Pelodiscus sinensis: one gene and its partners. The protein of the gene in region 2 purifies or fractionates together with the protein of the main gene of each other region. This does not show direct contact. Links are inferred from orthologs where the notes say so. Each region holds a gene or a part of one and is shown on either strand. Other genes may lie near its edges.

Evidence for each region. Proteins that work in one complex are often made in the same cells at the same time.
Region 1: the proteins of ANAPC2 (region 2) and ANAPC7 fractionate together in Homo sapiens (co-fractionation; 6 studies listed by BioGRID and IntAct, with this or other methods). This does not show direct contact. The link is inferred for Pelodiscus sinensis from reciprocal best matches to the Homo sapiens genes ANAPC2 and ANAPC7.
Region 3: the proteins of ANAPC2 (region 2) and NEK2 purify together in Homo sapiens (affinity purification with mass spectrometry; 4 studies listed by BioGRID and IntAct, with this or other methods). This does not show direct contact. The link is inferred for Pelodiscus sinensis from reciprocal best matches to the Homo sapiens genes ANAPC2 and NEK2.

Annotation. Positions count from the first base shown.
Region 1 is NC_134725.1:32,240,288-32,247,830, forward strand, and holds the start of ANAPC7 (anaphase-promoting complex subunit 7), read left to right. Parts: upstream 1-4,531; 5' UTR 4,532-4,582; coding exon 4,583-4,800; intron 4,801-7,543. UniProt on the Homo sapiens protein: Component of the anaphase promoting complex/cyclosome (APC/C), a cell cycle-regulated E3 ubiquitin ligase that controls progression through mitosis and the G1 phase of the cell cycle.
Region 2 is NC_134732.1:2,396,886-2,404,855, reverse strand, and holds the start of ANAPC2 (anaphase-promoting complex subunit 2), read left to right. Parts: upstream 1-4,953; 5' UTR 4,954-4,990; coding exon 4,991-5,074; intron 5,075-6,439; coding exon 6,440-7,059; intron 7,060-7,970. Other genes in the region: microtubule nucleation factor SSNA1, read right to left, coding at 1,337-1,536, 4,809-4,860. UniProt on the Homo sapiens protein: Together with the RING-H2 protein ANAPC11, constitutes the catalytic component of the anaphase promoting complex/cyclosome (APC/C), a cell cycle-regulated E3 ubiquitin ligase that controls progression through mitosis and the G1 phase of the cell cycle.
Region 3 is NC_134713.1:146,536,397-146,543,729, reverse strand, and holds the start of NEK2 (serine/threonine-protein kinase Nek2), read left to right. Parts: upstream 1-4,321; 5' UTR 4,322-4,598; coding exon 4,599-4,694; intron 4,695-5,992; coding exon 5,993-6,210; intron 6,211-7,333. UniProt on the Homo sapiens protein: Protein kinase which is involved in the control of centrosome separation and bipolar spindle formation in mitotic cells and chromatin condensation in meiotic cells.

The DNA of each region.
Region 1 (7,543 bases), on a different chromosome or scaffold from region 2:
CAATCCTCACCAATGGGATCACAAAAGATGAGATCTGTTGATTGATGGCTCAGTACATTCAAACATATGTAGTGCCTAGAGACCCAATGGAGACTGAGATTCCATTGTACTAGGCACTGTGCAGAAAAATTCTCTGGCCTAAAGAGTGTAAAGTGTTAAGTAGACCAGACACCTATCCAATAAGAGGAGAAAGAAGTGACTTGTCCAAGGTCACATAGGAACAGGGCCGGCTCTAGGCACCAGCAAATCAGGCAGGTACTTGGGGCAGCATTTCAGGTAAGCAGCTGGCGCTGCCCCTGGCAACGCCTAGCCCTGCCCTGCTGATTTTAAAGGGCTGCGGCCTGGGAAACGCCGTGGCTGTGCAGCCAGCTGGCACCAATGTGCACCTGGAGCCTGCTGGCCACCTCGTCTCCTCTCCTACTCCTCCCCTCCCCGGCAGTCGCTAGGCTGCTGGCACAAAATGGCTGCCGGCCAAAAGACCAAGGAGACTTAGTGCTCAACTGCTCTCTTGTTCCTATTCCTGCACTCACTCTTAAAGGGGACATGCTGTTTTATTTTTTTGTTGTTGTTGTTCAACAACTTTGGTCTCCCCCCCACACTTTTTTTTTTCCTTCAACAGAATTTTTTCCCGGTGTTTTTTTTGGGTGGGGGAGGGCAAAAATGTTTTTGCTTGGGGCAGCAAAAAACCTAGAGCCAGCCCTTCATAGGAAGTCAGTAGTGGAGCAAGAAGTAGCACCCTTGAAAGAGATCCTGACTCCAGTGAATGAGTCCAGGATTTCACTCTGCATTCTAGTCCACTACCTTAAGCACCAGTTCATGCTACCTCTCTGCTCTAGAATGCCAGTCTTGCATTAAAATGTAACTCCTCTTGATTGGTAACAAAATAAAAAATATATGAGGCCTGATCCTGAAGTTTGGTGCAGACTATAGTCCCTTTAATGAGACTTTTGCCTGAGTAAAAACTGTAACATGTTAGGATTATTGTGCCTATAATATTACCTGGTGGAACAAGGTGTAGAAAGTTGCATTAAGGTAACTGGTGATATAGGTGTTTAGGATATAGATGTTAAAGGGACATTTCACATGACAGCTACACATTGGCTGTGTCTAAACTGCATCCCTTTTCCGTAAAAGGGATGCAAATTAGACACATTGCAATTGCAAATGAAGCGGGGATTTAAATCCCCTCCGCTAAACATGTCTGCCGCTTTTTTCCGGCTCGGAGCTTTGCCGGAAAAAAGCGCCAGTCTAGACGTGGATCTTTCGGAAAATAAAGCCTTTTCCGAAAGATCCCTTATTAAAATAAGGAATAAGGGATCTTTCGGAAAAGGCTTTGTTTTCTGAAAGATCCGCGTCTAGACTGGTGCTTTTTTCCGGCAAAGCTCCGAGCCGGAAAAAAGCGGCAGCCATGTTTATGCAAATGAAGCGGAGGGGATTTAAATCCCTGCTTCATTTGCAATTGCGATGTGTCTAATTTGCATCCCTTTTACGGAAAAGGGATGCAGTCTAGACACAGCCGTTGTGTGTCTCTCAACTCCCCTCCCCTCTTCAATGTACACTTGCCTCTTCCTCCATCTCTGTAGGGCCATCCTGAGAGGGCCCGAGGCAGCACCCTCCGTCACATCTCCCATCTCTGCCCTGCCCTTGCCCCCTGACCAGCATAGCCCAGGAGGATTATGGGGTCCTGGTGTGCAGCAGCAGGGGTCATCTTTCCCCCTACTCACCACCCTGGGGCTACAGGTGTCTGCTTCCTTCTGCTATGGGGAGCAGCGGGCTGCAAGAAGGTGGCAAGATGGAGTGGAGTAGGCTGTTGGGCTGCTCCAACTCCTGCTGTTGTGAGGGAGCAACCCCTGCTGCTGCCATGCTAGGTCCCCATAATTCCCTGGTCACTCCCATCCCTAAGATGGTTGAGGTGACCTCCACAGGGCCCCCAAAAGTATGGGGGATCTGGGCTAGCTGCCTGCATTTCTACTATAATGTCCCACATCAGGGAGAGCTGCAAGAAATTCCCCACCTCCAAAAAACTGTCACCATGCTGCTCCAAGTTTAACATGGGTGATGGGTAGAAGTCAACATCACATAAGAACAGCCATACTGGGTCAGATCAAAGGTCCATCTAGTCGAGTATATTGTCTTCTGACAGTGGCCAGTTCCAGGTGCCCCAAGGGAATGAACAAAACAGGTAATCATCAAGTGATCCAGCCCTTGTCACCCATTCCCAGTTTCTGACAAACACCATCTCTGCCCATCCTGGCTAATCGCTATTGATGGACCTATCCTACATGAATTTATCTAGCTCTGTTTTTGAACAGTCCTGGCCTTCACAACACCCTAACAAGGAACTGCACAGGTTGGTTGTATATCAGCTAGTGTGCGAGATATCAGTTAATTGAATAGTTGAGTCATGAAATCCTGTTGGTTATCAACTATTTTATAGTCCCCAGGGGAGAGGCCAGCATCCAGTGTGCTCTTGGTCCCACTCCTGGGGACCCCCCAACACCCGCGCTGCTGCCTCTGTATCAGAGGCACTAGCATGGGGTGCCAGGCAGGAGTTAAAAAACAGATCCCCACATGGACCAGCTGCCTACCAGCCTGCTTTGCAGCCTCTGATAAAGAGGCAGCAGTGAGGGGTGGCAACAGCTACTGTCTGTAGGAGGTCCCATGGACAGAGGCTGCTGCAGCGGTGAGGATGGAAAGGCTGCCACAAAGCAACCTTGGTCCATGGGCAGCAGGGATTGGGGTCTGAACTCCCTGGGGGCAGATGCTGTTCAGCCTCCCATGGAGCAGCCTCTCTCTGCAGTAAACTTGAGCCTGCCATGGACAGAGGCTAGTCCTCAGCAGGAGACCTGAGGTGGGACTGAGCTCCCCTCAGACAGAGGTGGAACAGCTTCTGTCCATGGGGAGCTCAGACCCCCTGCAGTCAGGGGCTGCTGCTAGGGTTGCCAGGTGTCTGGTATTGTACTGGACAGTCCGGTATTTGCGCGCTCTGTCCGGTAAAAAAAATCAGAAAATACCGGACATGTGCAATGTCTGGTATTTTTTGATTTTTCCAGCTGCGCACCAGACGGAAGCCTGGCATGGGTGGGGGGAGCGGATGGGAGGCGGGGCCATGATTGCTGCCAGGAGCCCTCAGTTGGTTGAGTGTGAGGAGGAGGGGAAGCCTGCACGGGACAGGCAGCAAGTGCCCAGGTCAGTCCCGCTCCCTGCCAGCCAATTTGCTCACCCCTTCCTGGCTGGTTCTCCCTCACTTCCCCGGCCAGCCCTCTGCACCATCCCCCAGCTCTGCTTCCCACTGGCCCATTCCTCTTTCTGATCTCCCGCAGCCAGCGCCGCTGCATCCCTCCCCTTGCCAGCTCTGCTTCCTGCCCCCCTTCCTCCCGGCCAGCGCCACTGTACCACCCCCCGCCAGCTGTGCTTCCTGCTCCCCCTTCCTCCGGGCCAGCCCCGCAGCCCCCGCCCCGCCCCCAGCTCTGCTTCCCACAGCCTGTTCCTCTTCCTGATCTCCCCCGGCTAGAGCCGCTACATCCCACCCCCGCCAGCTGCTTCCTGCCCCCCTTCCTCATGGCCCCCAATCCGCCCCAGCTGCACTTCCCACCCCTCCTCCCCCAATATCCCTCGGCCAGGCCCGTTTTGCCCTATCCCCCCTGCTTCCTCCCCCATCTCCTCCGGCCAGCCCCGTTGCAACCCCCATTAGTTGTTTCCAGGACCCCCCTTCCAGGCCAGCACTGCTCCCTTCCTGGCCGGTACTTCTCCCCCCCCCCCCATGAAGCGTTTTATTTTTAAATGACTCCCTGGTAACCCCTAGCAGTGATCCAGGTTCTTGGAAACCCCCCCCTTTTTTTTCTCAACAACTTTGGTTCTCCCCCCCCTTTTCTTTCCTTCAACAAAATGTTTCCAGTTTTTTTTTTGGTGTGTGTGTGGGGGGGTCGGTATTATTGTTTCAGCCATCTGGCAACCCTAACTGCTGCCAGTGCATGTTCTCAAACGCTGGGGGGGAGCCTTGGGAACCAGATCCAGACAAGCCAGAGTCCACTTCCAGCCCCTGGGCCCGAGCTCCCCACCCTGCATTACTGGGCGCGCCTAAGCTTAAACTACAGGGAACGTGCCCAAGACTTGCCGCCTACCCCGGCGAGAGCGCAGCGCTGCTGGGACTCTGTCGGCGATTGAACTACCCTGGGGGCCAGGCCCAATGCAGTGCCCCCTGCTGGCTCAATGGCAGCGCTTCCTTTATGGAAGGGACAAGAAGCAGGCGGGCCCAGACACGACGCGCGTGCGAGCAGGTATCGCATTCACTGTGACGTCACTGTCCCCTCACTGTGCCGGGAACAGGGAGGTCCCCGCAAGGGCTCCGCCGCGAGCTAGCCCGCGACACGAGGCGCCGTCAGAGCCACCTGCGCATGCGTAAAGTGCCTCAGGCTCCTGGGGCGTCTACTTTTATGCCTGATGGAAAATGTCATTGCTTTGATGCCTATCCGTTCAGCGGCGGGGTGGAAGCTTACACCTGGTCTGGATTTACCTGGGGGAGCCCCAGCGGAGAGGTTTTTAAACGGAGGCACGAGGTCGGGCGACCGGAAGAAGCGCAATGGACCCCTGTGTGCGAGGCCCCTTCTGTGGCGCCATTTTGGAGTCGCTGCGGGCTGAGGAGCTGCTGTCGCTTCCGTCCCCGGCCGGCGCCCCCTGCGCCTCCCCGCGCTTCGGGATGAGCGTGGTGGAGCATGTGCGGGAGATGGCGGCTGCGGGGCTCCACTCCAACGTGCGGCTCCTCAGCGGGCTGCTGCTCACCATGAGCGGCAACAACCCGTGAGTGCCGCGGGGGGCCGGAGCCGGGGCTGAGGCAAGGCCCCTCTCGGGGCCCTGCGACCTGGGGCTGCCCCAGGCGGAGGCGGCAGGGTGGGGGGTGCTGGACGGGGCGGGGTCTCGCGGGTGCTTTGTGGGGCCCAGCGGGACCGGGCTTGGGGGGCTGCAGCTAAGAAGGCGGCGTCGGAGCAAAGGCCCATCCCGCCCAGTGGCCAGTGCCAGGTGCCCCAAAGGGAGTGAACAGAAACAGGGGTCGTGACACGAGCCCTCCCCTGTCGCCTCTTCCCAGCTTGTGACCGAGGCTAGGGACACTCTCCCTGCCCAGCCTGTCTAATCGCCATTGATGCGCCTGTTCTCCAGGAATCTATCTAGCGCTTTGTAAAAACTCTGTTATAGGCACAGGCATCCGGTGGCTTAGGCAAGCTACCAGCTTGGTCCACCCACACTCCACCCCAAGACTATCTCGGAGCGGAGTGTTGCTGCCTTCAACACCTGCCCTCCTGGTGCTCCCCTTCCCTCTCTTCCTCTCCTTGGTGCTTCAGGGAGGCTGAGAAGCATTCGGTGCTGCCCCTCTTATCCCCCATCCCCAGTGCTCCGGGGAAGCTGGGGAGCGTTTGGCCTGTTGCCCCTTCTCTGGGGAGTGCTTCCCAGGTTTCAGCAGAGGGGGTGCCTGCCTCCCCCAGCACCAGCTTCACCAGCCACTCATGGTTATAGGCGAGGTCTACACGGAGATGGTTTGGTGACAAAAGTGAAAACCAATCAAACTAATTTTTCTGTCTCCCATTGTCGCTATTCTATGTCCACGCTGCTAGTATCCTGTCAACTAACAAACAAAGTGATGTGGGTAAGCACGCACACACACACACCCCGGTGTAGTGTTTTGGGAAGGCAGAGTTTATCCATGCACTTCTTGGGATTCCCACCTAACTCTGTGATCTGTCTGTGCTGAGGAATATCAAAGCAGCTCAGCAGTCTCTCCAGCCCTGTAGCAGCAGTCTGCCTGATGCCATGTTTCTACCAGGGCAGAACAGAATCACTCCAATGATTTGTTCTTTATTTGTTCCCCAAATGGTGAAGCTCATTGACCTGTCACATACTTGCCAGAGTTTTGAAAGTGGAAGGATGTATGCATGCAGGCAGCAAAGATCGCAAAAGCCTGAACAGAGCTATCAGGTCAGGCATTGTGGGATACTGGTGAAAGCCATTTCAACAAAACAAACCACAGTGTCCACACTGACTCTATGTTGACAATAGAGGGAAGGGAAGAGACAAAAATCTCTTACAAGGCTGAAGTTTTTTTGTTGCCAAAACTGGGTGACAAAATTCACATTGTAGTGTAAATGCTCTCATTGTTTCATTGCCAAAAGGCAGCTTTTGGTGATAAAATGTGCCAGTGTAGACAAAGCTATAGTCTTGACCTTCACAGCATCCTCTGGGAGGGAGTTTCTTCGGTTGACTGTGTGGAAAAAAAATACTTCCTTTTGTTTGTTTTAAACTTGCTACCTATTAATTTTATTAGGTGACCCCTAGTTCTTGTGTTATGGGAAGGAATAAATAATTTCTCATTCAATTTTTCCACACTAGTCATGATTTTATAGACCCAAATCATATCCCCTTATAGCTGTCTGTTTTCCAAGCTGAAAAATCCCAGTTTTATTAATCTCTCCTCATAAAACACCTGTTCCATAGCCCTGCTTTTTTTTCCCAATTCCAATATATCTTTTTTGCAGTGAGGCAACCACATCTTCATGCAGTATTCAAGATGTGTGTGTACAATGGATTTCTATAGAGGCAATAAGATTTTTTTCTCTCTTTTTCTATCTGTTCTTAATGATGCTCAGCATTTTGTTTGCTTTTTTGACTGCCTGTCAGCCGACCGTCAGGGCAGTGAGTGGTGTGTGTGTGTGTGTGCTATACACCCGAGACTTCAACTGCTGAGACTGGGGTCCCTTGCAGCGGGCAACCTGGAGGTTTATGAGCGCCCCAATATGTTTGCAGGGAGAGCTTATTACACTTCAGATTTTAGCTGCTAGAATCTGTGATTCCTTCGCAGCGGGCAGCCTAGGGGAGGCTGAGGAGTGCCCCAACGGATCTGCCACCTGGGAGTGACACAAATCCAAATGCCCAAGCTCTCCCTATATCTGTCCCTTAAGACCGGCTGAAGTTCTTTTAAATTGTGCCTGGTTCTGTTACAGCAACTGAAGGAGTCAGGTTAAAGCTTAAACAGTTACAGGTTTATTGAGGAAGCTTATAAATCATATGTTTGCAATGGCTATTGTTCTATTTCTTAACTGCTAGCAAAATATAGATATTAAAAATGGTTACAAAGAAGATAAAGATAGGAAAAACAAAAATAATAGTACCAAGTAACAGCTTAACCTTTAAAGAGCTCTTAGTCTGTGTACACTTAAGACAGAGGACCACATCCAGGTACAATTTTTACCCCCTTCTGTGCCTCTCGGCTCCAGCGTATCATGCCAGAGCCGGTCCCTCAATTCCTAGGAAAGACGAAAATATGAGGTGGGCGTCCCCATAGAACCTCGGGAGGTCAAACACCTAACCCGACCAGCAGGTAGAGGGTAGATTAACACTCAAAAGTGAGTGTGCTACTGTACCCATCTTTATACCCATGGGGTCACGTATTTCTCTTTCTTATCTGTGATGCCAAATAGTGCTGGTCTGCCTTTTGTGAGACCAGTTCTTACAAGGGAGTTGTGAACTTAATTTACACTTGTAAGAGAGAATT
Region 2 (7,970 bases):
GGTTCTGGTCCCTGGCCCACCCCCAGGGGGAGCTGGGGGCTCCTGTACATTTCAAAGGAGGAATGCAGAAGTGCCTGTCAAGTAATCAATGGAAATTCCATCGACTATTCAACTAGTAAATTACTTGTTAGTTAACATCCTTACTGTGGAGAGGCCAAAGTTCTGGGCTCTGTTGGAGAGCAGTGACCCAGGCTATGCCCCAGTTACCTTCCCCATCCTCAACTCTCTGCAGGTCTGGCCCCTGCCCTCAGTCCACACGCTTGAAAAGAAAAGGCCCTCCCCTCTCTAGCTCCTGTTGAGGGGGTTTCTCAAGCCTTGGTATTCAGCACGGCCCTGTGCTCCTCACACCCTTTCCAGAATGGGAGACGTGTGCTGGCAAAACTCAAGCACTGCAGCAGCAAAGGCGACACTTCCCATACAACACAACCACAGAGCCTTGCCCCTGCTCTGAAGTGTTCCCTGGGGAGATCACTGCATCTTACTCCCCCCCCCCCCAAGATTCTGTCTTGTAGGAGAGGGCAGCCAGTCCTCCCTGGGGCCATGAGGCTGTGCTAGGCCCAGGCTTTGCTAAGGCACTGTGTGCCATGAACGGAATGCCAGTGGGCGGTGACGGACCGGAAGAAGAGAGATGATGCACTGGGATTGGAGCTGAGAGTCTACAAGGCAATGCAGGAGGCTCTCAAAGAACTGCAATTTTACAGAGAAGAAAGAAATCTGAGGTTGCACAAGGGCACTTTGGGTGGAGCTGGAATCAAAACCACCAACTCGAACCCCTAAGCCTCACCCAAACTGCCTTCTGAAACGAATGTGCCAAGCCCCTGCTTGCTTACCCTGTCTCTAGCAGTCATTCTAACCACTAGGCCCTAGTGCTCTTCCAGAACCAGGAGGAGAGGCCAAGAATCCCAGTTCCCAATGTCCCCCCGCAACGCAGCCAAGTGGCAGAGGGCCGTGGTAGGGGCTGGAGGTCCCATGTGCAGTGCCTGGTGTGGTTTTCTCACAGCAGTACCCTTTTTGGGAGAGCTGTGGAAAGGCCTTAGCTAAGTGCTCCCCAGGGTGGGAAGTGCCATACCCAGGAAGGCAGCCCCCACGTGCAGTGGCACCTTTCAACTCACTTTTGTAAATGACCACAGGATTTTGGCCGAGTGAGTTGAACCTAGTTCTGGTTCAGCCACACCACAAAGCCCTGCTTTCCCTGGCCTTTTGATTGCAGTTCAGAGCTGGTTCTACACGAGGCCTTGCTAACTGGAGAGACGCCATGCCTCTTCGGCAGTACCACCCAACCCCCCACGCATCGGGCAGCTGCCTTGGAGAAATCCAGCCCCCGGCGGCCAGATACCTTCGTGTAGGCGGCCTCAGTCTCGACGATGGTTTTCTCAAACTCGTTGCGGGTGGCCATCTTGCGAGCCAGGCTCTCGTTGACGCGGGCCAGCTTCTCGGTCAGGAGCCGGATGTCGTTTTGCAGCTTGCTCTTCTCCTCCTCCTCGTGCTGGATCTGCTGGCTCAGCTCATCCCGCTTGGTGCACAGCTCCTCGATACCTGGGGCAGGAGGCGAGTCAGGGCCAACTGTGGCCAGGGGCTCAGGGCCCATCCCTCTAGCACGCACGCAGGCGAGACATGTCCTGAGGCACCTGCATGGCCTCCCTGCACGGGGAGGTGGGGCCCACCTGGCCAGTGCAGAGAGTGTGGGGGAGTATGGGGAGGGAGGGGATGCAGTGCACAGAGCGGGCACAGGGTGCATAGGGGGGCAGTGCACAGAGCAGAGGGGGGGTGCAGGGTGCATGGGGGCAGCGCACAGAGGGGGGCAGGATGCATGGGGGCAGTGCACAGAGCAGACGAGGGGCGCGGGGTGCATGGGGGGAGGCGCACGGGGGGGCAGAGTGCATGGGGGGGCAGCGCACAGAGCAGACGGGGGCGTGGGGTGCAGCGCATGGGGGGTGCAGGGTGCATGGGGGACAGCGCACGGGGGGCAGGTGCATGGGGGGCAGCGCACAGAGCAGGCGGGAGGCGCGGGGTGCATGGGGGCAGCGCACGGGGGGGTAGGGTGCATGGGGGGCAGCGCACGGGGGGCAGGTGCATGGGGGGCAGCGCACAGAGCAGGCGCGGGGTGCATGGGGGGCAGCGCACAGAGCAGATGGGGGGCAGGGTGCATGGGGGGCAGCGCACGGGGGGGTAGGGTGCATGGGGGCAGCGCACAGAGCAGACGGGGGGTAGGGTGCATGGGGGGCAGCGCACGGGGGGGCAGGGTGCATGGGGGGCAGCGTACAGAGCAGACGGGGGGGCAGGGTGCATGGGGGCGGCGCACGGGGGGGCAGGGTGCATGGGGGCAGCGCACAGAGCAGACGGGGGGCGCGGGGTGCATGGGGGCGGCGCACGGGGGGGCAGGGTGCATGGAGGGCAGCGCACAGAGCAGACGGGGGGTGCATGGGGGCGGCGCACGGGGGGGCAGGGTGCATGGGGGCAGCGCACAGAGCAGACGGGGGGCGCGGGGTGCATGGGGGCGGCGCACGGGGGGGCAGGGTGCATGGGGGCAGCCCACAGAGCAGACGGGGGGCGCGGGGTGCATGGGGGCGGCGCACGGGGGGGCAGGGTGCATGGAGGGCAGCGCACAGAGCAGACGGGGGGTGCATGGGGGCGGCGCACGGGGGGGCAGGGTGCATGGGGGCGGCGCACAGAGCAGACGGGGGGTGCATGGGGGCGGCGCACGGGGGGGCAGGGTGCATGGGGGCGGCGCACAGAGCAGACGGGGGGCGCGGGGTGCATGGGGGGCGGCGCACTGGGGGGGCAGGGTGCATGGGGGCAGCGCACAGAGCAGACGGGGGGCGCGGGGTGCATGGGGGCGGCGCACGGGGGGGCAGGGTGCATGGAGGGCAGCGCACAGAGCAGACGCGGGGTGCATGGGGGCGGCGCACGGGGGGGCAGGGTGCATGGGGCGGCGCACAGAGCAGACGGGGGGCGCGGGGTGCATGGGGGCGGCGCACAGAGCAGACGGGGGGCGCGGGGTGCATGGGGGGCGGCGCACGGGGGGGGCAGGGTGCAGGGGGGCGGCGCACGGGGGGGCAGGGTGCATGGGGGCAGCGCACAGAGCAGACGGGGGGCGCGGGGTGCATGGGGGCGGCGCACGGGGGGGCAGGGTGCATGGAGGGCAGCGCACAGAGCAGACGGGGGGTGCATGGGGGCGGCGCACGGGGGGGCAGGGTGCATGGGGGCGGCGCACAGAGCAGACGGGGGGCGCGGGGTGCATGGGGGCGGCGCACAGAGCAGACGGGGGGCGCGGGGTGCATGGGGGCGGCGCACAGAGCAGACGGGGGGCGCGGGGTGCATGGGGGCGGCGCACGGGGGGGCAGGGTGCATGGAGGGCAGCGCACAGAGCAGACGGGGGGTGCATGGGGGCGGCGCACGGGGGGGCAGGTTGCATGGGGGCGGCGCACAGAGCAGACGGGGGGTGCATGGGGGCGGCGCACAGAGCAGACGGGGGGTGCATGGGGGCGGCGCACGGGGGGGCAGGGTGCATGGGGGCGGCGCACAGAGCAGACGGGGGGTGCATGGGGGCGGCGCACTGGGGGGCAGGGTGCATGAGGGCAGCGCACGGGGGGGCAGGGTGCATGGGGGCAGCGCACAGAGCAGACGGGGGGTGCATGGGGGCGGCGCACGGGGGGGCAGGGTGCATGAGGGCAGCGCACGGGGGGGCAGGGTGCATGGGGGCAGCGCACAGAGCAGACGGGGGGTGCATGGGGGCGGCGCACGGGGGGGCAGGGTGCATGAGGGCGGCGCACAGAGCAGACGGGGGGTGCATGGGGGCGGCGCACGGGGGGGCAGGGTGCATGAGGGCAGCGCACGGGGGGGCAGGGTGCATGGGGGCAGCGCACAGAGCAGACGCGGGGTGCATGGGGGCGGCGCACGGGGGGGCAGGGTGCATGGGGCGGCGCACAGAGCAGACGGGGGGCGCGGGGTGCATGGGGGCGGCGCACAGAGCAGACGGGGGGCGCGGGGTGCATGGGGGGCGGCGCACGGGGGGGGCAGGGTGCAGGGGGGCGGCGCACGGGGGGGCAGGGTGCATGGGGGCAGCGCACAGAGCAGACGGGGGGCGCGGGGTGCATGGGGGCGGCGCACGGGGGGGCAGGGTGCATGGAGGGCAGCGCACAGAGCAGACGGGGGGTGCATGGGGGCGGCGCACGGGGGGGCAGGGTGCATGGGGGCGGCGCACAGAGCAGACGGGGGGCGCGGGGTGCATGGGGGCGGCGCACAGAGCAGACGGGGGGCGCGGGGTGCATGGGGGCGGCGCACAGAGCAGACGGGGGGCGCGGGGTGCATGGGGGCGGCGCACGGGGGGGCAGGGTGCATGGAGGGCAGCGCACAGAGCAGACGGGGGGTGCATGGGGGCGGCGCACGGGGGGGCAGGTTGCATGGGGGCGGCGCACAGAGCAGACGGGGGGTGCATGGGGGCGGCGCACGGGGGGGCAGGGTGCATGAGGGCAGCGCACGGGGGGGCAGGGTGCATGGGGGCAGCGCACAGAGCAGACGGGGGGTGCATGGGGGCGGCGCACGGGGGGGCAGGGTGCATGAGGGCAGCGCACGGGGGGGCAGGGTGCATGAGGGCGGCGCACGGGGGGGCAGGGTGCATGAGGGCGGCGCACAGAGCAGACGGGGGCGCGGGGTGCATGGGGGCGGCGCACAGAACAGACGGGGGGGGCCAGGGTGCATGGGGGGCGCAGCGCACAGAGGGCGGGGAGCAGCGCACGGGGCTGGGGGGGGGGGCTGGCCGCCGGCCCCCCCCGCACCCTCCCCCCCGCGGGTCCCCCCCCGCTCACACTTGACCAGCTCGTTGTTGTAGCTCTGCAGCGCCGCCCCCTGCTGAGTCATGGCGGCCCGAACCCGGCCCGGCGCGCGCCCCGCCCCGCCCCAACCGCCCCGCTCGCCCCGCCCCTCGCCCGGCTCCGCCCCCGCCCGCTCGCCCCGCCCCCGCCTCACGTGCCCCTGGCGCGCGGGCCGGATGGCGGCGGGGCCGGGCCCGGAGCTGTCGGCGGCCTGGCACGCGCTGAGCACCGGCCTGGTGCCGCCCGCCGCGCTGGGGCTGGTGAGTGAGAGCGGCCCCCCCGCAGGCCCCCCCTCGGACCCCCCATGTAGACCCCCCCGTCTCGCCCCCCGACGGCCCCCCCCAAAACGGCCCCCCCCATGCAGCCCCCCAAAACGGCCCCCCCCATGTATACCCGCCCAGACGGCTCCCCCATGTAGACCCCTGTCTCCCCCCCCGACGGACCCCCCATGCAGCCCCCCTCGGACCCCCCTGTCTCCCCCCCGATGACCTCCCCACACGGCCCCCCCATGTAGACCCCCGTCTCTCCCCCTGACGGACCCCCTATGCAGCCCCTCCTCCCACACGGCCCCCCCATGCAGCCCCCCCAAACGGCCCCCCCATGCAGCCCCTCCTCCCACACAGCCCCCCCCATGCAGGCCCCCTTAGCCCCCCCCCAGATGGAGCCTCCCTCCAGGCCTCCTAATCAGCCCCAGACAGCCCCCCACCCTGCAGACAGGCCTAGCCGTGCCCCCCACCCCGGATCCCAGCCATTTCCCCCAACCCCCCCGCCCCGTTTTTGTCCTGAGAACCCCTAAGTGCGTAGGACAGTTCAGTTCGGGTGGGCCCCGGAGAGGGTGTTGGTTGCAGATAAGGCAGCTCGATTTTCTAGTTTTGTTAGGGCATCACTTGGGCAGCAGATTTAAGGTGGTGCCTTTGCACCTCTTCTGAGTGCAGACTTAAGGCTGAACTTCCTGGGGGTCTCAATGTTGTTTCTATCCAATTGCTCTTGCAAGGTCGCAAACCAGAGGAATGGATGTCTGCCCGCACCTTTAAGTGCATTCTCACCCTGGTGTGTGGGAATTGCCTTAGCTTTTGTTCTTGCCAAGTCAAAGATGGTCGCAAGAGAGGAGCCTTGGGATCCCCGCAGGGATTCAGGGCCACCCCTATTCTTAGAATGTTCTAATTTGGAAGCTCATTCACTTAACATTTTCTAGGAAAATGCATATTGTTTCCAAATTGAATCTGCCTGTTCCGAGCCACTGTATTTTCGCTGGTTTAGAGGGAGCAAATTATGGAAACTTCTGTGCACTGAATGGCTGGCATTGTGGCTTTGAGCTCTTCAATAAATAGGCTGCTCACCTGACAGCTCCCATGGCCGCTGTCAGCAAGGGGAGCAGTTGATGCCAGTCACGGTGTGGGTGCTCATGATGTGAACACCTTCCTATCAGCAGGATTGAGACCCCACCCTCTCCACCAACAGCAGGTGGTTGGTAACCTACAGCCGCCTGAAACGTGACCCAAATACCAGTGGGGGACATGCTCCATCCATAGCCTGCTGGCTGTTCTTTGAGGTGGATTTGCAAAGCCCAGCCTCAGTGATTTGTAGGTGCCCAGGCTTGTGTTTAACTTGGTGTGTCTCTTTAGGCAGGCCCCAGATCAGGTTCAGCAGGGCTGCTGAAGGACAGTGACTTGCAGGCGGCCGTGGAAGTGCTGCAGCGCTATGACTTGCACTCTGTCCTGGAAGAATGGTTCACTGAAGTTTTACAGACAGACTTGCAGGCCAATATAGCTCCTGAATTCTGGAATTGTATTGGCCAGTATGAAAACACGGCGGAAGAGCCACAGTGCTCCTTGCTTCTCCTGGATGCCTTTTGTCTGCTCAAGTGCCGCCTCGACCCTTATCTGAACAGCTTGGACCTTCTGGAAAAATGGACCAGAATGGGCTTGCTCCTTGGAACAGGCTCCCAGGTGCTGCGAGAGAAAGTCTACACCATGTTCAAAGCCATCCTTTTCTTCACCACCACCGAGACGTTCCAGGAGATGATCCAGCAGTTCTACAGCCGCACCTTCAAGATTTACATGCGCCAGGGGAAGAAGGGTGAAGGCGGAGTGAAGGCGTGCGAGAGCAGCATGAGTGAGAACGAGCCAGAGAGCGATCCGGAGGACGGAGGAGACGGCCGGCAGTGCCTGGGCTGCAGCAGTAAGAGAGAGCAGTGCTGGTGTCCCACAGCCATGGAGCAGTTCCAGCAGCTCAGTGAAATCCTGTGCGTATCTTACAGCAAGGTGGCGAGTTGTAGGGGCCTGCGCTCCCCCCCTCCCCCTCGCGTTTGCTGGCTCAGGTCTCCCTGAGTTCCGCCACCCTATGCTTGCCCCCCAGCCCCGCCTGCTGTCCCTGGGTGATTTTAAATGCCTTGGGGGGGCCCCCACTGCAAGCAGCGCACAGAGACCCACTCTTCTCCCCCCACCCTCCCAGGCCCCTCGGAGGTGCTGGCAGCCACGCAGAGTGAGCGGCAGGAAGCCTCTCTAGCCCCGCTGCACTGCTGATGGGGGCTTCCAGGGTGTGTTAATTCACCTAGGGGCAGCAGGAGGAACCAAAGGATGCGCAGGGCGGAAGGCATGTGAGTGGCAGGTGGGGCGGGAAGAGCAGTGGGAGCAGCACCGTGCACTAGGAGCTGCTGCCAGAGGGTGGTGCCTCCCAGGTAAACATGGCACCCTTTACCCTGGTGCTGCCCCCAAGCTCCAAACTGCCTCCCAGAGCCTGCCTCCTCCTGCGGCTTCCTCCCCCACCCCAGGCCAGAGCCTGCATCCGGGCCTCATCCACATTCCCTCCCAGAGCATGCACCCTGAACCCCTCCCGCATCCAAACTCCCTCCAAGAGCCTGCACCCCTCCTACCCACCGATCCTCTGCCCAGACTCTTGCTAACAAGACCAAGATGGCTGCACACAAACTCCCTTACTCCCTTTTCCTGCCTCCACACTACTGATTGTAATGAGAGATTATGGTATGCTGATGGTATGAAATTTGCATATAAATTCCAGTTCAGCAGTTTCACCTTGCAACCTGGTTTGGAAGGTTTTTTTACGTTGGAAGTTTGATATTTGATATGACTTGGGCTATATCACGCGATCCTGTAGTCTGTTGTTTAGAATCCGAGAGTGTTCTATTGTCGCATT
Region 3 (7,333 bases), on a different chromosome or scaffold from region 2:
TCCGAAGAAGGGGCCAGTGTGGACGTAGCCTAAAGGTAGTCAATAGATTTCCTAAGTCAGGAATTGCTCTGATAGGACCAGGGACTATGTCTTGATCTCAGAAGTAATAGTTACATGCAAATACTAACAACCCATGCTAAAAATCTTGGAACCAGCTACTCTTTATATAGGGAAATGGCTAAAACGCAGGAAGATTTTTCTCCTTTTCTGTTTATCACTGAAGAAGCAAAGCACACAGAGCTAAATCCTGTCTCTGCAATTGTAGAGCCAGAGGAACATTTGCATGCTTGAAATCTTGTACATGCAGCACTGCATGCAATTTCCAACCGGAGACACAACCAAGGGGGGTGGGTATACTAAGATGTCTATAAAATCATGACTGGTGTGGAGAAAGTAAATAAGGAAGTGCTATTACTCCATCCTATAACACAGGAACTAGATTCTAGTCCTAGTTATCACAGTACAGTTTTTCTCATCTTACCAGCCCTGTTTATCTGCATTAGCTTTTTCAAAACTTGCAATATCTGCTTGACAATATTCAGAACAGAACTACTACTGATGTCCTGCTACTTAAATACAACAATATATCATAGGGTTAGTTTTTGTCAACACTTTGGATGAAAGAAAATAGCCATCCTTCTATCTGACTCGTCTTTAGGAGTGATTGTAAAGTGCCATCCAGTGGAAATTTGGTATAGCTACAGTGTGACGCAAAATAGCAGTGTAGCTTCAAGCCATTGGCTACGTCTACACTGGCCCCTTTTCCGGAAGGGGCATGTAAATTTCATGAGTCGTAGTAGGGAAATCCGCGGGGGATTTAAATATCCCCCGCGGCATTTAAATAAAAATGTCCGCCGCTTTTTTCCAGCTTTTAAAAAAGCCGGAAAAGAGCGTCTACACTGGCCCCGATCCTCCAGAAAAAGCACCCTTTTCCGGAGGCTCTTATTCCTACTTTGAATAGGAGGATCGGGGCCAGTGTAGACGCTCTTTTCCGGCTTTTTTAAAAGCCGGAAAAAAGCGGCGGACATTTTTATTTAAATGCCGCGGGGGATATTTAAATCCCCCGCGGATTTCCCTACTACGACTCATGAAATTTACATGCCCCTTCCGGAAAAGGGGCCAGTGTAGACGAGCCCCCTATGTTTAGTACCTGTGGCCAAGATGTTCTGAAATAAATGTCTTAAGTTAGACTTAAATCCATATTTAGGTACCCAATAAATAGTATGACTTTCAAACAAATTGAAATTACAGCAGCTGCTAGGTGCCCCATACTTTTTAACATAGGCTGTATAAGGGTGCCTGAACATAGTTTAAGCACTTGATTTTAAGGAGTCATTTTTGAAAATCCAGCTATTTAACATTAAGGACCAATGGCCTAATACAATACCAAACAAAGTTAATTGGAAAAGCGACAAGGAGTTGCACCTTATAGACTAAGAGATGTATTGGAGCATTTGATGAAGTGGGTCTTTGCCCACAAAAGCTTATGCTCCAATACATCTGTTAGTCTGTAGGGTGCCACAGGACTCCTTGTCGCTTTTACAGATTCAGACGAACACGGCTACTTCTCTGAAAGTTAATTGGACTTGTTCCATTGTTTTCAATGGACCTTGGATAAGTCTCCAAATTCTGCCCCCAGTTGCGTTTGTACAATTAAAAGAGACATAGATCAAATTTGTCCCCATATTTATAAAACGTTACTCCAATATGAATTTTTCCAGCAAAATAAAAAAAGTCAGTTTTTAAACCAGGAGTGGGGAATCTCTCTCTCTCTCTCTCTCTTTTTTTTTTGTTTTGTTTTGTTTTTGTTTTGTTTTGTTAGTGACTACTGACCCAAAGAAAAATCACTCAGGGGCCACACTCACTGGCCATGGAAGGAAGGAAGGAAAAAAAACTAACTTAAAGGTCTGATCTGTTCTACAGCTTCCCTTGAGGCTCTGGGCATCCCTTCCCCCTGCAGCAGGGTGAACCAGCACTAGTGCTCCAGTTCCATGGGTGGGTAATGCCAAGGCAGTGAGACTTACAGTGGGGCTGGAGCACTAGTGCTGTTTTATCCCACTGTGAGGGAGAAGGGCAACCTCAAGCTTTGCTGCGGGTGAGATCAAGGGAAGCCGGGGGCCAGATCTGGCCCATGGGCTAGATTCGACCAATAGGCCATAAGTTCCCCAAACCTGGAAAATAAAAGTGCCTGTTGTGGTTTATCATTCCATACTAAGTCTAGCCTAACAGTTAAATATACTGAGCACCTACAGTATCTCTTCAGTAGGAGTTGTGGGTGGTCAGATGTTTGCAGGATCAGATCCTTGATGAGGGTTCACTACTGTGATAGGTTTTCAGAGCTGAATGACTTTGAAATTAAAATGTAGCACCTACATGTTAACGTGTATCACAAAACTGCTTCAAACTCGCCAAGAATAAGGCAAAGTTGTAAATTAGCCAAATACTTAAATTTATGTTGTTATTTCTATAGTGCCATAGGTGTGTAGACACTTTACAGGCCTCAAAGTAGACATTGCTGCAGACTACCATCAATTTCTGAAGACAGTATGGCAGAACTAGGAGGCTAGAGGTGATCGGGCAAGCTCTTAGGTTGTTTTGTTTACTATACATTGGGTCTGAATCTCCTTCCATTTACATAGGTGTATGTCGGGAAATATTTCACTAAAATCACTGGATTATACTAGTCCTATTGGCCCACCCACATCTAAAGGACCACCCCCTAGCCAACAGGAAGGGACCACAGAGCCCAGAATACCAAATAATTACTGGGGACAAATAAAAAGAAAACAGGGACGGATGTGGTGGTCATAGGGTCAAAATGAGGGAGCTGGATGGGGACACTGAGCAGAGAACAGCGCCCATTGCCCTTCAAAGGTCTCAAGAGAGCCAGCGGATCTCGCTCTGCCTGGATTCATGAACAGATGCAGGAGAGGAAGTAGGCCCCACAGTCGCAAGCCCCTCCCTCAGCCAACCTCTACTCCCTGGTTTTGTAAGTTGCCATCTTGTAAGAGCCAGGAGGAGGTTGAGAAGGAGGTTGTGCGACTTTGTGGGGCCACAGATGGGGTGTGCATAAATTAATAAGTGAGGGGTGAAGTGCAGCCAGAAACTCAAGAGGTTCTGGCGGAGCCAAAAGAGGGACTGTAATCTGGAGCACTCGCTGCAGTTATACTGGTATAAGAAAGGTAGTGTGTAGGGAGGGTCGGTGCTGGGCTGTGAACATTGGGACAGAGTTGGGTGGGACCTTGTGGACAATGCTACGTGTGTGTAAGGAGGGGTTAGGGGTTGTGGTTGATCTGGTCCAGGGGCAGCTTTAGCATGGATACATGGGTTCACCTGTACCCACAGAAATTATAAAAGCAGGGTGCACAAACAAGCAAATATACACTTCTTTCAGCGCAGATGAGAGGCCGTGAGGGGAGATGGGGGAGGGTCATGGTGTGCTGAAGTGTTGGCCTGAAACCACACTCTCCTAGCAGTGGTGGTTCCTATCCTGTGTGGCTGGACCCAGCTCTCTACTCCATGTGCTGCATCCTGTTGCAACACCACTCACTCAAATTTGGTCTGACCAGGTCAAACCTGACCAGTGTTGTGTGACCCTATGTACTTGATCAGAAGCCTGAAGCAGGGTTTTGGGTCCCACTTCTGGGGGGGAAGCCACTGTTGTGTGAAAGGTTTGGGAGGAGAGCTTCTCTCACCAGCCACCCCTCTGAGAGCCTGGAAAAGTCCCAGAGCAGGGTTAGAGGATGTTGCTGCAGGTGGCTGGTGCCCCCTTAACAGGTTATATCAGAGGTCCCCAAATTTTTCAGGGTCACCCCCTCCTTATCCTTGTCTGCCCCACCTCCCCCTGCCAGGTACTAGTGGGGTGACAGCTGGAGCACCAAGTGAGCGGTGGGGCCAGAGCAGTGGGGCTGGTGATGCACCTTCCCAGCCCACAGTGGCTGCTGTACCCCTCCCCGTTCCTCAGCACCCCCCCTTTAGGGGAGCATTCCTCACACTTTGAGGACCTCTATTTTACACAGCCAATACACCCATTTCAACCCTGGGCAGGCCATGAGCACCGAGTGGAGGAGGGGGGCAGTGGAGAGGCAGCAATAAGAGGATGGGGACGCAGTGGTGGAGACAGCATGGGCGGCAGCGATGAGCTGGGGGGGCAATAGCTTAGTGGGCTGTCTGTGGCGACGGAGCTGTGGGAGGCGTGGCAGGACAGTGGGGCAGGTGGTGAGGGATGTGGTGGGGGTGGCCGTTGGTACGGTACTGCGGGCAGGCGTTGGGTGGAAGATCACAGCCCGGGAGAAGTGTCCGTCTGCTCCTGAGAAGCAAAGGCAGGAAATGGGGCAGTTGTCTGCCGGAACTATACGAAAAAAGGGGCGGAGCTGTCTCCCCATCTTCCCTCGCGCCGCCGTGGTTGCTTAGCAGTCGTAACGGCCGTTACAATGACGTAAATTGTTTACAACGGAATAGCCAATGGGCGGACTGAAGGTGTGGGCGGAGCTGCTGTGCGGGGCCAATGACCAGCGGGGGCGGCGCGTTTAAACGACAGCGACAGGCAGCACCGCTACGGTGGTGCCGTTGGCCGGGATTCAACGTGTCGTGACGCCATGCCGAGCCGGCCTGAGGATTACGAGGTGCTGCTCACCATCGGCGCCGGTTCCTATGGGAAGTGCCAAAAGGTGCTGCGCCGGGTGGACGGCAAGGTGAGTAGCAGGGCAGCTCGGGCCCCGCTGAGTGCGACGATCTCTGGCGTCCTCATGCTGAGAAGTCCCATTCCCCGCCGCTGCCCGTAATGCCCGACATCTGTTCTCAGCGCCTCTGGCTGCGCGCTGTGTGACGGGTCCTGGTTTTAGCTCAGTCGGGTGGGGGGATCTCAAACTTCCTTGCACTGCGACCTCTGACACAGAAATTACTGCTCCATTCTCAGGAGAGGCCTGGTTCCTAACAAGGCTGAAGCCAACTCTGTGGTAATGCTGTTATAATGGGGTCGTGATTAATGTTCCCCCTAATCTTTACCAACCATATCCAAAATAAAATATGTGCACAGAGGCAAGTGGTTATGTGTGCCACCAATGGAAACCTAAAACAGCTGTGGGTGTTCTATCTAGTAAGCAAAATGCAGGACAATGTAGCACTTTAAAGACTAACAAGATGGTTTATTAGATGATGAGCTTTCGTGGGCCAGACCCACTTCCTCAGATCAAATAGTGAAAGAAAGTAGTCACAACCATATATACCAAAGGATACAATTAAAAAAATGAACAAATATGAAAAGGACAAATGACATTGCAGAACAGAAGGGGGATGCGGGGGGGGGGGGAGGAAGGAAGGTAAGTGTGCAGAACAGAAGGGGGATGCGGGGAAGGGGGAGGAAGGAAGGTAAGTGTCTGTGAATTGCTGATATTAAAGGTAGGGAGAGTGGGATGTTTGTGAGTTAATGGTATTACAGGTGATAATTGTAGTATCTATCTAGTAAGCAGATGGACTGCACTTAAATCTCAACTGAGTGGTTTGAAAGCACGTAGTTTACAGGGGATGTTGATCAGAGATGTTTGAATGTAAATGACTATCTGCTTAACTGATAATGGGTGCTAAGTTATGGGTTACACTGGGGGAAGCCTCCTCCCTGTCAGCCTGGAGAGCAAGGGCAGCCAGCTCCTCCAGGGGAGGAGGCATCCCTGCAGTAGCAAAGAGGCCTTCTAGGGAGCTGGGGTGGGTGGCCCTTCTCCCAGGGAAGCTTTGCTTCAGGCTCTGTAGAATAAAGCTAAACTTTATACTGAAGAGTCCACAACCTGAGTAACTATAGAACTGCTGAGGCTTTCAGTGGTTACACAGTTACCCTAATTCATCATTACATTCCTTAGTCCTGACCCTCATGTTTGGAGAACTGCTGTTCTAGCTTATCAAGCTCAACTAGTTGATCAATTAGCTTGGCTTGGCTTTATAAGCCATTCCTAAAGAAAGCATTAGTGTTTTAGTCATTTTGTAAACTGTTTTTCAGGTCTTAGTTTGGAAAGAGCTTGACTATGGCTCTATGACAGAAGCAGAGAAACAAATGCTTGTTTCAGAAGTGAATTTGCTCCGGGAGCTGAAACATCCAAATATTGTCCGATATTATGATCGCATTATTGACAGAACCAATACAACCCTCTACATTGTGATGGAATATTGTGAAGGAGGTGACCTGTCTACTTTAATTGCAAGATGTACAAAGGAAAGGCATGTGAAATCTGTTTATGGGACTCTTGTGCTCTCCCATCTAAATAACGGGATCATTTACCAGAATTAAGCCAAATCAAAATGCATCTCCTTGTAATCAATTAGAATCTTAGGTTTGATAAAAAATTAATCACAGATTTCTAAATTTTTGTACGAAGGAATTGCGTGGGGTGCATAAAGTTTTTGTGAAAAAAATTGCCAGCTTGAATGGCCGCTTGAATTTGCTCAAGAGCACTGACTTTGTAATGTACAAAATCAGTGCTTCTTGCGTAAAAGCTTTCACGCTCCCGCTTGGGGGGGGGGGGAGCCCAAGAATACCTGCACAAGAGGGCCAGTGTAGACAGGGAAGAACTGTTTTGTGCAAAAAAGCCCCGATGGCTAAAATGGTGATTGGGGCTTTCTTGCGCAAAATCGCATCTAGACTGGCCACGGATGCTTTTGTGCAAAAGCACTTTTTGTGCAAAGGCATCTGTGCCAATCTAGATGTGCTTTTGCAGAAATACTTTTAACGGAAAAACTTTTCCATTAGGCTGTGTCTAGACTGCATCCCTTTTTTCATAAAAGGGATGCAAATTAGATACATCGCAATTGAAAATGAAGTGGGGATTTAAATCTCCCCTGCTTCATTAACATAAAAATGGCTGCCTCTTTTTTCCGGCTCGGCGCTTTGCCGGAAAAAAGCGCCAGTCTAGATGTGGATCTTTTGGAAAATAAAACCTTTTCCAAAAGATCCCTTATCTTAAAATGAGGGATAAGGGATCTTTCGGGAAAAGGGTTTATTTTCCGAAAGATCCGCATCTAGACTGGCGCTTTTTTCCGGAAAAAAGCGACAGCTTTTTTCATGCTAATGAAGCGGGGGAGATTTAAATCCCTGCTTCATTGGCAATTGTGGTGTGTCTAATTTGCATCCCTTTTACGGAAAAGGGATGCAGTCTAGACACAGCCCCAAAGTATTTCTGCAAAATCATGCCAGTGTAGAATAAAAATCAAAGCCAGCCTTAAAGTGTAGGGTTCAGGTATAGTTTAGTGGAAGCTGTGATAGAATGACTTCTACTGATAAAATACAGAAAGATAGTTTGCATGTACAGTAATAGTCTTTATTGCATTCCCTTGTGTGAGGTAA